3 linked regions of the Oryctolagus cuniculus genome follow. The protein of the gene in region 2 interacts with the protein of the main gene of each other region in a pairwise test. Links are inferred from orthologs where the notes say so. Each region holds a gene or a part of one and is shown on either strand. Other genes may lie near its edges. The genes, in order: SH3D19, SH3YL1 and GFAP.

Region 1 (3,644 bases), on a different chromosome or scaffold from region 2:
ACCCGGTGTGCCGGCGCCGCAAGGCGGAGGATTAGCATAGTGAGCTGCGGCGCCAGCCCCAAACTTATAGGTTTTAAGGAATAAGACATTAGAAAAATTTTTTGAAGAATCTACTAATAGCTTTTCATTTGGTACAGAGCATAGGAAATGTATTTATAACAGTATTATACAATCATTATAGTACTTTATAATAGAAATGACATTTTAGTATAAAAACTAAAAGAATATTGTCACAATAAAGGGAAACTCCATCATAGAACAGGAACATCGTACGCTGACCTATCTCAGTAAGCCTCCTCTGACTCCCTCAAAAGCCTGCACCTACCCAGTACCTCCGTGTTTTCTTTTCTTTTTTTTTTTTTTACAGCCAAGTAAGAATCTTGTTAGTTCTATTTTAAGTCTTATCTTGTCCAAGCACTCTTAAGATTTTTTTAAAAAAATTTTATTCATTTATTTGGGAGGCAGAGAGACATACACAGAGAAACACAGAGACAGAGAGTGAGCTCCCATCTGCTGGTTTACTCTGCATACACGCAGGGCTGTGCTGGACAGAAGCCAGGAAACTGGATCCTGCTCTCAACTACTTGAGCTATCACTACTCTCTTCCATGGTTCACATTAGCAGGACACTCAGATTGGCAGGAGCAGAGCTGGGACTTGAACCTAAGCTCTCTGGTACAAGATGTGGGTGTCTTAACCTTTAGATCAAATGCCTGCCCCACCTCTGGTGCTTTTGTTCTTTCTACATCATACTTGCCTAGGACTGAATATCTTCATTGATGGAGAATTTACCAAGGTGTAACACAGGCTATACTCACAGCAGTAATTACGAAAACCACCCTTTCTCTTCCTCTAGCACAATCTCAAAGTACTACCCTACGTGCTTTTTTCTGACTACAGGCCGACTATGGACTGGGAAACAGAATCATAAGAATACTCTATTACTGCTTTAAGAAAAAATAAGAGGTACCTTGGTGAAGTAAGATTAACGTTAAATTTTAGGCTTCTTTAATAAAACAATGAAAACCTTTGCAAAGCAGCTCAATTGGTTGGGACCATTTCCCCAAAGCTCTGGTCAGGGCCTTTACAATCTCTAAAGATTGCCTTAGCAATCCGGTGTAGGCTGCTTAAGACTACAGCGGCAGATGGTTATCAGATGCCATTTGATTTCTCCACTGATTTCAAAGACAAGTTAGAGGCTCTGAGGGCCATCCTTACTAGGGCTACCACACAAACATGTTCATGTAAATAAGAGCTGACATTTTAAGGCCAAGGAGCAAGGAATTACCTTGGGGTTGTGGGTTCTGAAGCCAAGGTCTTCTTCAAGTATCTTAAAGCCCAGTTGATAATGTGCATTATCAACCTTATATACCCTATTCATTTTCTTTCATCTCTTCCCTTAAAATGCAGGGCTGAGATATCTTTATTCTTAGGTAATGATCAATATTCCACTGCAATGCCCTACCCTTCAATTAAAGACATTTCCAAGTTTACAGTGCTTAATATGGTTACATAAAGATTCAAGCTCTGACCTTGAAGGTGAGCTCATCTTCATTCTCTCCATGGAAATCATACAAGGCTTTGGCCTTCCTCCCCTTCAGTGCTTTAGCAGACGTACTTTTTGCCTCAGCTGTGAAGACACCAAAAATTCAAATATACAGAGACACAACAGATTAAACAAAAACCAAACATTTTACAAACCTCTCTTGTCACTCTTGGAATATGATATTTTGATTTAATTTTGAATTTATTTAACATGCAAAAAAGTGAAGGATGCTCTCTTTGTTGGAAAAAAATTATACAAAATATATTTAACAGACACAGTTAGCCACTGTTTAGTGAAGGCATTTCAATATTTTTCCACACCTCCAACAAAGGAGTATATGAATGAACTCTGCACAACTTTATGAGCCAATTCTTAGAACAACAGACACACTAGCACAGCCAGAGACAGGAATGTATGAGTTTCAAACACCCTGGCTGCTGTTTTAGAGTAAGAGCCGCGTCGTGTAGCTGTCATACCTGGGCAAGGCCGCACAAAGGCTGCTGGGAAGATGCCCTCTCTGTCATGCAGTCTGCCCCGGTACCAGTCGGAGTCCAGACGCTGCAGGAGCAGGATCCGGTCTCCCCTTTTGAAAGATAAGTCCTCACTGGTCTCCGCGGTAAAGCTGTGCAGAGCTTCACACCATTCTCCAGAGAGACTGTCGCCCTGGTACAAAGCACAGGTCTGGTAAGAAATGTGAGCTCTGGGACAGGCATTTGGGAAGAAACGAATCTTAGGACGAAAGAATCCCACACTGGAGGGCCTGGATTCCAGTTCCAGCTCTGCACCTGACTCCAGCTTCCTGCCAGCACACAACCCTGGTCGGCGGCAGCGATGTCTGCAGTAACTGGGTTCCTGCCACCCACACAGGAGGTTTGGACTGAATTCTCAGCTTCTGGTTTTGGCCTGGTCCAGTCCCAAATGTTGTGGGCATCTAGGAAATGAACTAGTGGATGAGGGCTCTGTTTGTATCCCTCTTCAAAAAACAAAACAAAACAAAACAAAACAAAACAAAACAAAACAAAAAAACAAAACAACAAAAAAAATTGAGTCCTACAAGGTCTAATGTGGGTGGGTGGGGGGCAGGTGCAGTGGCATAGCGGGTAAAGCTGCCTCCTGCAGTGCTGGCATCCAATATGGGCGCTGGTTCAAGATGCGGCTGCTTCACTTCTGATCCAGCTCTCTGCTATGGCCTGGGAAAACAGTGGAAGATGGCCCAAGTCCTTGGGCCCCTGTACCTACATGGGAGACCCATAAGAAGCTTCTGGCTTTGGATCGGTGCAGATCTGGCCGTTGTGACCATCTGAGGAGTGAACCAATGGATGGAAGATCTCTCTCTCTGTCTCTACCTTTCTCTCTCTCTAACTCTGTCTTTCAAATAAATAAATAAATAAATAAAATCTTTTAAAAAATGGTGGGAAAAAAAAGGTAAGGGGTCATAACAGATGGAAGACTTCTCTCTCTGTCTCTACCCCTCTCTCTCTCTCAACTGTCTTTCAAATAAATAAATACATAAATAAAACCTTTTAAAAAATGGTAGGAAAAAAAAGGTGAGGGGTCATAAGATTTCAAATCCTGAAGGCTTCTTCTTCTTTTTTTTTTTTTTTTAAGATTTATTTATTTGAAAGTCAGAGTTACACAGAGAGAGAAGGTGAGGCAGAGAGAGAGAGAGAGAGGTCTTCCACCCACTGGTTCACTCCCCAGATGGCCGCAATGGCCAGAGCCACGCCGATCCGAAGCCAGGAGCCAGGAGCTTCCTCTGGGTTTCACACAGGTGAAGGGGCCCAATGACTTGGGCCATCTACCACTGCTTTCCTAGGCCATAGCAGAGAGCTGGTTTGGAAGTGGAGCGGTTGGGACTTGAACTGGTGCCCATATGGGATGCCGGCACTGCTGCAGGTGGCGATTTTACTTACTATGCCACAGCGCTGGCCCGAAAGTCTTTTTTTTATTATTATTATTTGACAGAGTTATACAGTGAGAGAGACAGAGAAAGGTCTTCCTTCCATTGATTCACCCTCCAAATGGCCGCTGCGGCCAGCGCTGCACCAATCCGAAGCCAGGATCCAGGTGCTTCTACCTAGTCTCCCATGCGGGTGCAG
Region 2 (3,644 bases):
CCCGACCTGGCAGCCCTGGGGCTCCCGCCCCCATCCTGTGCCCCAGACTGTGAGGTGTGAGCCCCGGAAGGGAGTGCAGGGGCCTTTGCTGGGCACAGGAAGGCAAAGTAGAATTTGGCTCCACAAAATCCACGAGTGCAGCCATTTTCTCATGTTACAAAACAGCACGTGTCTGAGGCTGCAAGGCCAACATGCAGACGGTTCCTGACGCACTAATCCCTGTTTCAGAAAACTGCTAAATTCTGGCTGAATTTTCTTCAGGCTCCAAATCTGTGCCTCTCAAGTGCTGGGTGCGTGCGGCTCACGGGGACCCTGAGGGAAAGGCAGAGGCTGCCAGGGAGGCGCCCCCTGCACTGGAGCAGAAGCCCCAGGAAGCGCTGCTCAGACGGGGGAGCTGGCTGGGCCCACGGAACCATAGCTGCTGCTCTCGTCACTGCAACTCAGACCCGGGCGTCCACAAAGCATTAAGATCTTGTGAAGCTCTGAAAAACAACTTCAGAGATCCCGACCGGGACAACTTAAGAGATCTCTTTAAGTCACGCACTGTGATTACCCAAGAGGGAAATTAGCCCGTGACACTGCCCAAGGTAATCTGCATGAGAGGTGCACTCTATGAAACACGGCCTGCAGAGGCAGTTCCAAAGCCGCACTCTGGGCCAGGCTGTGTGGACTACCCTGCTGGTCACCAGCACCCAAGGCCAGGCTGTGTGGACTACCCTGCTGGTCACCAGCACCCAAGACCAGGCTGTGTGGACCACCCTGCTGGTCACCAGCACCCAAGGCCAGGCTGTGTGGACCACCTCGCTGTCACCAGCACCCAAGGCCAGGCTGTGTGGACCACCCCGCTGGTCACCAGCACCCAAGGCCAGGCTGTGTGGACCACCCCGCTGTCACCAGCACCCAAGGCCAGGCTGTGTGGACCACCCCGCTGTCACCAGCACCCAAGGCCAGGCTGTGTGGACCACCCCGCTGTCACCAGCACCCAAGGCCAGGCTGTGTGGACCACCCCGCTGTCACCAGCACCCAAGGCCAGGCTGTGTGGACCACCCCGCTGGTCACCAGCACCCAAGGCCAGGCTGTGTGGACCACCCTGCTGTCACCAGCACCCAAGGCCAGGCTGTGTGGACCAGCCCCGCTGTCACCAGCACCCAAGGCCAGGCTGTGTGGACCACCCCGCTGTCACCAGCACTGGAGCACCTGGTTACAACTTGCATCCCTGGTCACAGGGCTCTGAGTCCCACCCTCAGGTTTGGAATGGGTTCTGGGACTGTGTTCTAAGGACCTGAAGATTTCAGAGGTGCAGCTGTGCTGGGAATTCTTGACTAATCTCCTCTAAACCACTGTAGAAATGTAAATATCTTACTTGGAAGGAGAAAACAAAAATGAACACTTATGTATGAGACGAGCTGGCGAGGTTGAAGATTTGCTTGTAAAGCTCTCCGCAGGGAGGCCAAGGTGAAGCAGGAATGGGGGTCCGGGTGGAGGGGCGAGTCCCAGCTGCCCCACCCCAGGAGAGAGAAGAGGCCTCTGGGAACCCCTGCTGTCCCTGGGGTCAGCTGCCAGCTAGGAGTGAGGCTGAGGGAAGGAAGGGAGCGATTCAGAAATCCAGACACGCTCGGAAATTTACCTACCAGGAATGATCTTATCGGGTCCATTTCTGGAAGTTATTTCTGTGAATTCTCTTAGTATTTTAGCAGCCTTCTTTGCTTCTGATTTCAAATTGGAAGGAATGGGATTATTCACTGAAAGATGAAAAAAAAAACACATTTTAATAAAAAATCCACTAAGCAGAAGTTAGAAATTTATTGTAACTATATTTTCTCACACATAATAATCACTAACAAATTGTATTTTACCAAGTAAAGGAAATGAACTAGAAAGTCCTCAGCTACTGACAATTTCACCCCTACTTTCCAAATCTATTCTGAGGCTCAGAAACCCTAAAGTCTTAGAAATCTCAGAAGTCACAAAATCCTGGGATTGTGAAAGATTTTAAACAAAATCTGACACAACTGCCCCAGTCTTTCTTCTCCCTGTCATTAATTCACCTGAAGAGCAAGTTAAAAAGATTAAAGCTTTAAACGTAACAGAAGATGCTTTTTTACAGTTATCTATTACAGATAAAACAGGGTTCAATATGGCTGCTTACTCTCATTGCACGTGTTTGGACTGGCTGCAGGTCACCTGCTTAGCGCACTCAGGCATCGTTTACTGCAAGTAACGGCCGCCTGCAGTCCGGGGGCAGTGTGCATTCCCAGTGCTGCCCACCTACGCTGAATCACCTCAGTGCGATGCTGGCACAAGGCTGGCACAAGGCTGGCAGCTCTGAGGCACACTGGACAGGGGGTCAGAGGAGCCCCGGCTCAGGTCTGCAGTCAGAGGAGCACGCAGGCCTCCGGACGGGAAGTGTCACCTGGGCAGGTGCTGAAGGAAGTTGGGCTGAGAAGCCTGAACAACTGCAGCACACAGGAAAGAATGGGATTTCTAACAGGAAAACATGATGCATTTTGGAGCTTGCTATGTTTGAAATAGGTGATTTATTTTAAAAGTAGAAACTGGACAAGGGTCATATTGGAATTGTGTGGTTTTTTAAAAAGAAGAATTCTGCATCAATTCTCTGTGGTTCAACACGGGAGCATCGGCAGGACTCAGGCCCCCAGAGAATGGATCCCACAAATCCGCGAGGGTGCTGGCCAGGGCACAGGCGCTCATTTGCACAAATGCCGGGTGCCTGCAGAGTACACAGTGTTCCTTTCCTGTCTAGGTTACACCACTAGTGTATTGGCACTTCACAGATTTTACTCAACTTTCTTTCAGGGAAGTTAAAATATTGGCTCTCAGGGTAGACTTTTATGATCAACTTCACGAGACATAATTTACAAAATGCAATTCACCTGTTTCACGCAGTGCACACCCCACAAGCTGGGACAAGTACCTGACACAGGCCCCTCCCCCAGCAAAACTGTTTCTTTTGGGCCCCTGTGCAGCCACCCCGGCCTCACCAGCTATGGATCTGGTGTCTGTCACCTGTGTTGGTTTTGTCTGTGCCAGGATTTCACAGGAATACAAGGAAACTGATTCTTCTCCATCCGGCTTGCTGTGCCTGTGCTGAGCGTCCTCCACACACAGGGTGAGCTGAGCCACCCGATGGACAACTGGCAGCTTCTAGTTTTTGGCTATCGTGAAGAAATTCTGCAAACATTCCCATAAAATCTTCTGTGCATCACTGTTTTGTCTCCGGGGGAGGTCTCCAGGCTAGGATGGCTGGTTCCTGGACGTGTAAGTGCACTGGTATCAAAAGCCACCAGGAGCTACCTGAAGTGACTGCCTATCACAGGCCAACCAGAACTTCTGGGAGATCTGGTTACTCCACATCCTTGCCAGCTCTCTGCAAGGCCAGGCTTTCCACGCCAGTTTCTGCCGTGGTGGCAACTCAGGGTGGATTTCATTCTCATCTCCTGGGCGAGGAGGGAAACACCCTTCCTGGTGCTTACCTCTGTATTTTGTTCTAAGCATGTGTTCAAGCTTTTGCTCATTTAAAAACGTGCATTGGGCCGGCGCCGCGGCTCACTAGGCTAATCCTCTGCCTGCGGCGCTGGCACCCTGGTTCTAGTCCTGGTTGCTCCTCTTCTAGTCCAGCTCTC
Region 3 (4,136 bases), on a different chromosome or scaffold from region 2:
ACTGCCTCGAAACACTGCGCTGTGGTCTCTGTGGGGTCATATTTGGGTCCACATCCCATCTCCCCGCCAGGCTCCTCTGTGTACCCCAGGAGGCTCCTGGCATTGCGGTGAATGCTCAGGAACTCGGGACACTGGCAGGAGAATGCAGCTCCTGAGTGGCCTGGCATGCCCCAATGTTGGCTGACAGTAGTAACAGCAGCAATAATAACGTGAGTACTTTTGGAGTAATTGTGCCCGTGTCACCCTAGGCAAGTTATCTCGCTTCTCTGATGAAGGCCAGTCACCCAGAGGGCACATCCACCCAGATTCCTCTACCCTCCTTGCTTCATTCTCTTGAACAGAACAAGGAGGGCTGCCTGGAGGAGGCAAGCCGGCTTCCGGCTACCTTGGAGCGGTACCACTCCTCGGCCTCGTGCATGTTGCTGGACGCCACTGCCTCGTACTGCGTGCGGATCTCTCTCAGGGCTGCTGTGAGGTCGGGCTTGGCCACATCCAGCTCCACGTGCACCTGCTGTTGGGCCAGCTGCTCCTGGAGTTCCCGCACCTCCTGGCCAGGGGGAGAGAAGGGGTCCCCGGCTCAGCGCCCGGGCTGCGGCTGGGGTTCTGCACAGCATCGCACCCGCTTCTGCCTGTCTCTCAGCCGTGGGTGTTGGCCAGGGGAAACCGGGCAGCCCTTGTGGGAGGAGGTGGCCCAGCTGAGGCTAGGGATGTCCCTGAGGGTCGCCAGGTCCCCTGGGGCCAAGGATTCTGATGCGCGGCTCTGAGGTCAGCGTGCAGAGGGATTTTTTTTTTCTTTAAATACATGATGGCTCTCATTCTCCCGGAGACAGAGGCAGAGGGACTGACCGTGTGACCCTGGCATGTTCTTTAGCCCCTTGGGTCCCACTGTGCTCGGTGAAAAGTAGATGGTTCTGGAAGGGCCCTGTGTCGTGGGGCTGTGCGGGCCTGTTCTCAGAAAGGGAGTGCGGCCGTGTACAGAGGCTGGCGTCGAGCGCTCTCTCGCGCTTACTCCTGCTTTTTTACAACTGCTTCCCTCCTCCTCTGTCTGTCTCCCAGCCGCAGGCCCATGTTGGACCCCTCCCACCGCCCGTCCTCACTCCCCCGCCGCCCGTCCTCACCTCCTCGTGGACCTTCCTCAGGAACTGGATCTCCTCCTCCAGGGACTCAATCTTCCTCTCCAGATCCAGGCGGGCCAGGGTGGCTTCATCCGCCTCCTGGAGAGTGGAGGGGGCAAAGGGCCACTCTGACCCCAGACTCCTCTTCCCTATTGCCCGGCTTTGCCTCGCCCCTCCTCCTGGGATGGGGGAACAGCACATGGTTCTGGGGGCTGGGCTGGGCTGGGGGCTGTGTTTTGGATGGGCTGCCCCGCCCCTCCCCTCCCCCTCTGATGCCCCTCCCCTCGCCTCCCCTCCCCCCTCTGACCTGTCTGTAGGTGGTCAGGTTGTTTTCAGCCTCCATCCTCAGCTCAGTCTCATCCTGGAGCCTGGGGTGGGGGTGGGGGAGACAATTCCTGGGTCCAGGCTCTTCAGAGGACTCTTGGACCCCTGCCCCAACCTCCCTGGGGTGACTGGCTCAGAGACACCCCTCCCAGCCCCAGAGTGACAGGAGGAGGAAGGGCCACCCACGGCCTTTGCAGAGGCCTTGGCCCGGAGGGTGAGCAGCCAAGGGCTTTGGCTTTAACTCATTACTCAAGTGCCTTGCCAGGGTCGCTGCACCTGCTCCTGCTCACACAGGCGCGTCCACGAGCGTCTACCTGCTCCGCATGGGCAAACACATGCATCGCCCTGCCCTCGAGGGCACACCTGCCCTGCTGGCTCAGCAAGGCCCGTGCCCCTGGCCCTGGGGTTTCCTCCGAGCCCGGGGAACTGCCTTTGCAAATGGGTTTTCTGATGCTCTCTGCTTCCCAGCTGCGGGGGGGGGGGGGGGGCAGAGCAACTCCACTGGGGTCACTAGCCCGGGCCAGGGCAGTCACCTGTGCTTGGCACCTAGGCCTGCCCACTCTTTCCTGTCCCCCAGACCCAATCCTCCGCAGGGACCCCAGCTTCTCTTCCAGTTCCTTCTTTAGAGAGACCCCCCCCCGGGGGGGGTTAGAATAGATGAGCTCCACAACTGTGGTCCCAAGGCCCAGTGAAGGAACCACACAGTCCGGGCCCCTGGCTGCTGGCTCGGCTTCCCCAGTGGGGAGGTGCTGAGGGTCCCTGAGACCCTCCCATCGGGCTGGAGAGCAAAGGGAGGGGAATTGAGGGAGCAGTGGGGCAGAGCCCCATTGTCCTGGACTCTGCAGGCAGCAGCCGTTCCCTCCCCGCCTGCGGGCCCGGTCCCTGTGCCCAGTCCTCACTTCTGCCTCAGGGTGCCCAGGTCCTGCGCCAGATTGTCCCTCTCCACCTCCAGCCGGGTGCTGCTGGCCGTGAGCTGGTCGAGCCGCAGCCGCAGCTCCCGCAGCTCAGCCTGGTAGACGTCGGCCAGCTTGGTGGGCTCCTTGGCCCGCAGCTGGTTGAGCTCGGCGGCCAGCGCCTTGTTTTGCTGCTCCAGGAAGCGAACCTTCTCGATGTAGCTGGCAAAGCGGTCATTGAGCTCCATCATCTCGGCTCGCTCACTGGCCCGGGTCTCCTTGAAGCCGGCATTGAGTGCGCCGGCCAGCGAGAAGTCCACCCGGGCCGGGAGTGGAACAGATGTTCGGGCCAGGGAGAGGCGGGCGCCGGGCCCCAGGCGGCGCCCGGGCGCTGAGCCCCCCAGCACCATCTCGGCAGAGGAGGTGTAAGAGCGGCGAGCAACAGAGGCGATGCGTCTCCGCTCCATCCTGGCCCAGCTCTGCCGACTCCTGGGCTGCAGGCTTTATGGAGCCTTGGCTGGAGGGGCAACGCCCCCTGGCATAGCCTGAGAGGGTGGGGCTGGGCTGCAGCCCAGCCATGGGATGCGCTCCTCTCTCCCCACCGAGGGTGAGGGCGCTGCTTCCTGGCCGGGGCTGTGCTGCCTGGGCCTGAAGCCCTGACTTCTGAGCGGGGAGACCCTTTCTCTGGGAAGGTGGGTTAGGAAGGGGCAGGACCTGCTTTCCAGAGCTCTGAGCGCTCACCCAGGCCTCCATCCTAGAGGGCCTGCCTTAAATTTAATGAAGCACAGACGGGCCGTGCAGGCCAGGAAAAGCCCCAGCCCCAGCACGCACCTGGCATCCCCCATCTGAACACGGCCACCCCATGGTCCAGCCTTCTCCCTCTTCCTGGGATCGGCCTGCAGGCTTGGCCCCCCCCACCCCCGGCTCTTTGTCTGCAGTGTCTCATGGAGCAGGGGACGAGCGAGGGAGTGAGGGAGTGTGGCGGGCTGGCTGGGGCAGATGGGCAGCCCCTTTCCCGCGGTCTCGCCCGCCTCCCCTGGCCTCCCAGACAGCTCTACAAAGCAGTTACGAATGAGCTGGCTGGCCCGTGGGAAGCTCTGTTTCTGTTTCCCTGGCGGCCCTCACTCTCCCACTCGAGATTAATCTCCTTTGCGTTCCGAAGCTTCAGGCAGAGAAGACGGAAAAGGCATCCCAGGCTGGGTGGCTCTGGGGACCCAGAAGCCACTGGGGCATGCAGGGGGGCAAGGGGCTGGGGCCAGGACCCCGCTGTCCTTGAGCTTCAGGTCCATTCACCCCTCCACTCTGCTCGCACAGGGCCGGAGCCCGCCAGGCCCCTCGTCGTCTGTGTCCTGGGACTTCTGGGAAGCAGACTCCCCCCTGCAGCCTCCCCGCCACCCCTGCCCCTCTGGCCCGTCTTCCGGGCACTTGCTGAACAGAGCCTTGTTCTCTGGCGCCGGGGAGGGCGCTGCACGGCAAGGGCGGCCCCCAGGGGGCTGTGCTGCTTTTATCCCACGATGCCAGGCTGTCAGGCCGGGGCGGGGGGGGGTGCAGCACAGCCCCTTCTCAATGCACTTCTCGGAAAGCATCTGCGGGGACTTGGGGTGCAGCGGGGTGCAGGCCGGGTGCCCGCCCTGACCATTGTGTCTGTGCCAAGGTGAGTCACTCAGCGGGCAGGGAGGAAAGGCCCCACTTGCAGAAAAGCCTGGCTGCCCCCCCACCCCCGCAGCCCTCAGCACCAACTCAGTCCCAGGCCCCTCCCTCCCAACACACAGGGACGTGTGACACGTGGCAGGCTGCTGCTGAG

Evidence for each region.
Region 1: the proteins of SH3YL1 (region 2) and SH3D19 interact in binary tests that used the Homo sapiens proteins (3 or more experiments, as listed by UniProt). The link is inferred for Oryctolagus cuniculus from reciprocal best matches to the Homo sapiens genes SH3YL1 and SH3D19.
Region 3: the proteins of SH3YL1 (region 2) and GFAP interact in binary tests that used the Homo sapiens proteins (3 or more experiments, as listed by UniProt). The two-hybrid records come from large-scale screens. The link is inferred for Oryctolagus cuniculus from reciprocal best matches to the Homo sapiens genes SH3YL1 and GFAP.

Annotation. Positions count from the first base shown.
Region 1 is NC_091439.1:13,490,879-13,494,522, reverse strand, and holds part of SH3D19 (SH3 domain-containing protein 19), read right to left. Parts: intron 2,209-3,644; coding exon 2,022-2,208; intron 1,630-2,021; coding exon 1,532-1,629; intron 1-1,531. UniProt on the Homo sapiens protein: May play a role in regulating A disintegrin and metalloproteases (ADAMs) in the signaling of EGFR-ligand shedding. May be involved in suppression of Ras-induced cellular transformation and Ras-mediated activation of ELK1.
Region 2 is NC_091433.1:199,902,216-199,905,859, reverse strand, and holds part of SH3YL1 (SH3 domain-containing YSC84-like protein 1), read right to left. Parts: intron 1,743-3,644; coding exon 1,632-1,742; intron 1-1,631.
Region 3 is NC_091448.1:18,168,133-18,172,268, forward strand, and holds the start of GFAP (glial fibrillary acidic protein), read right to left. Parts: upstream 2,821-4,136; 5' UTR 2,800-2,820; coding exon 2,339-2,799; intron 1,484-2,338; coding exon 1,423-1,483; intron 1,215-1,422; coding exon 1,119-1,214; intron 548-1,118; coding exon 386-547; intron 1-385.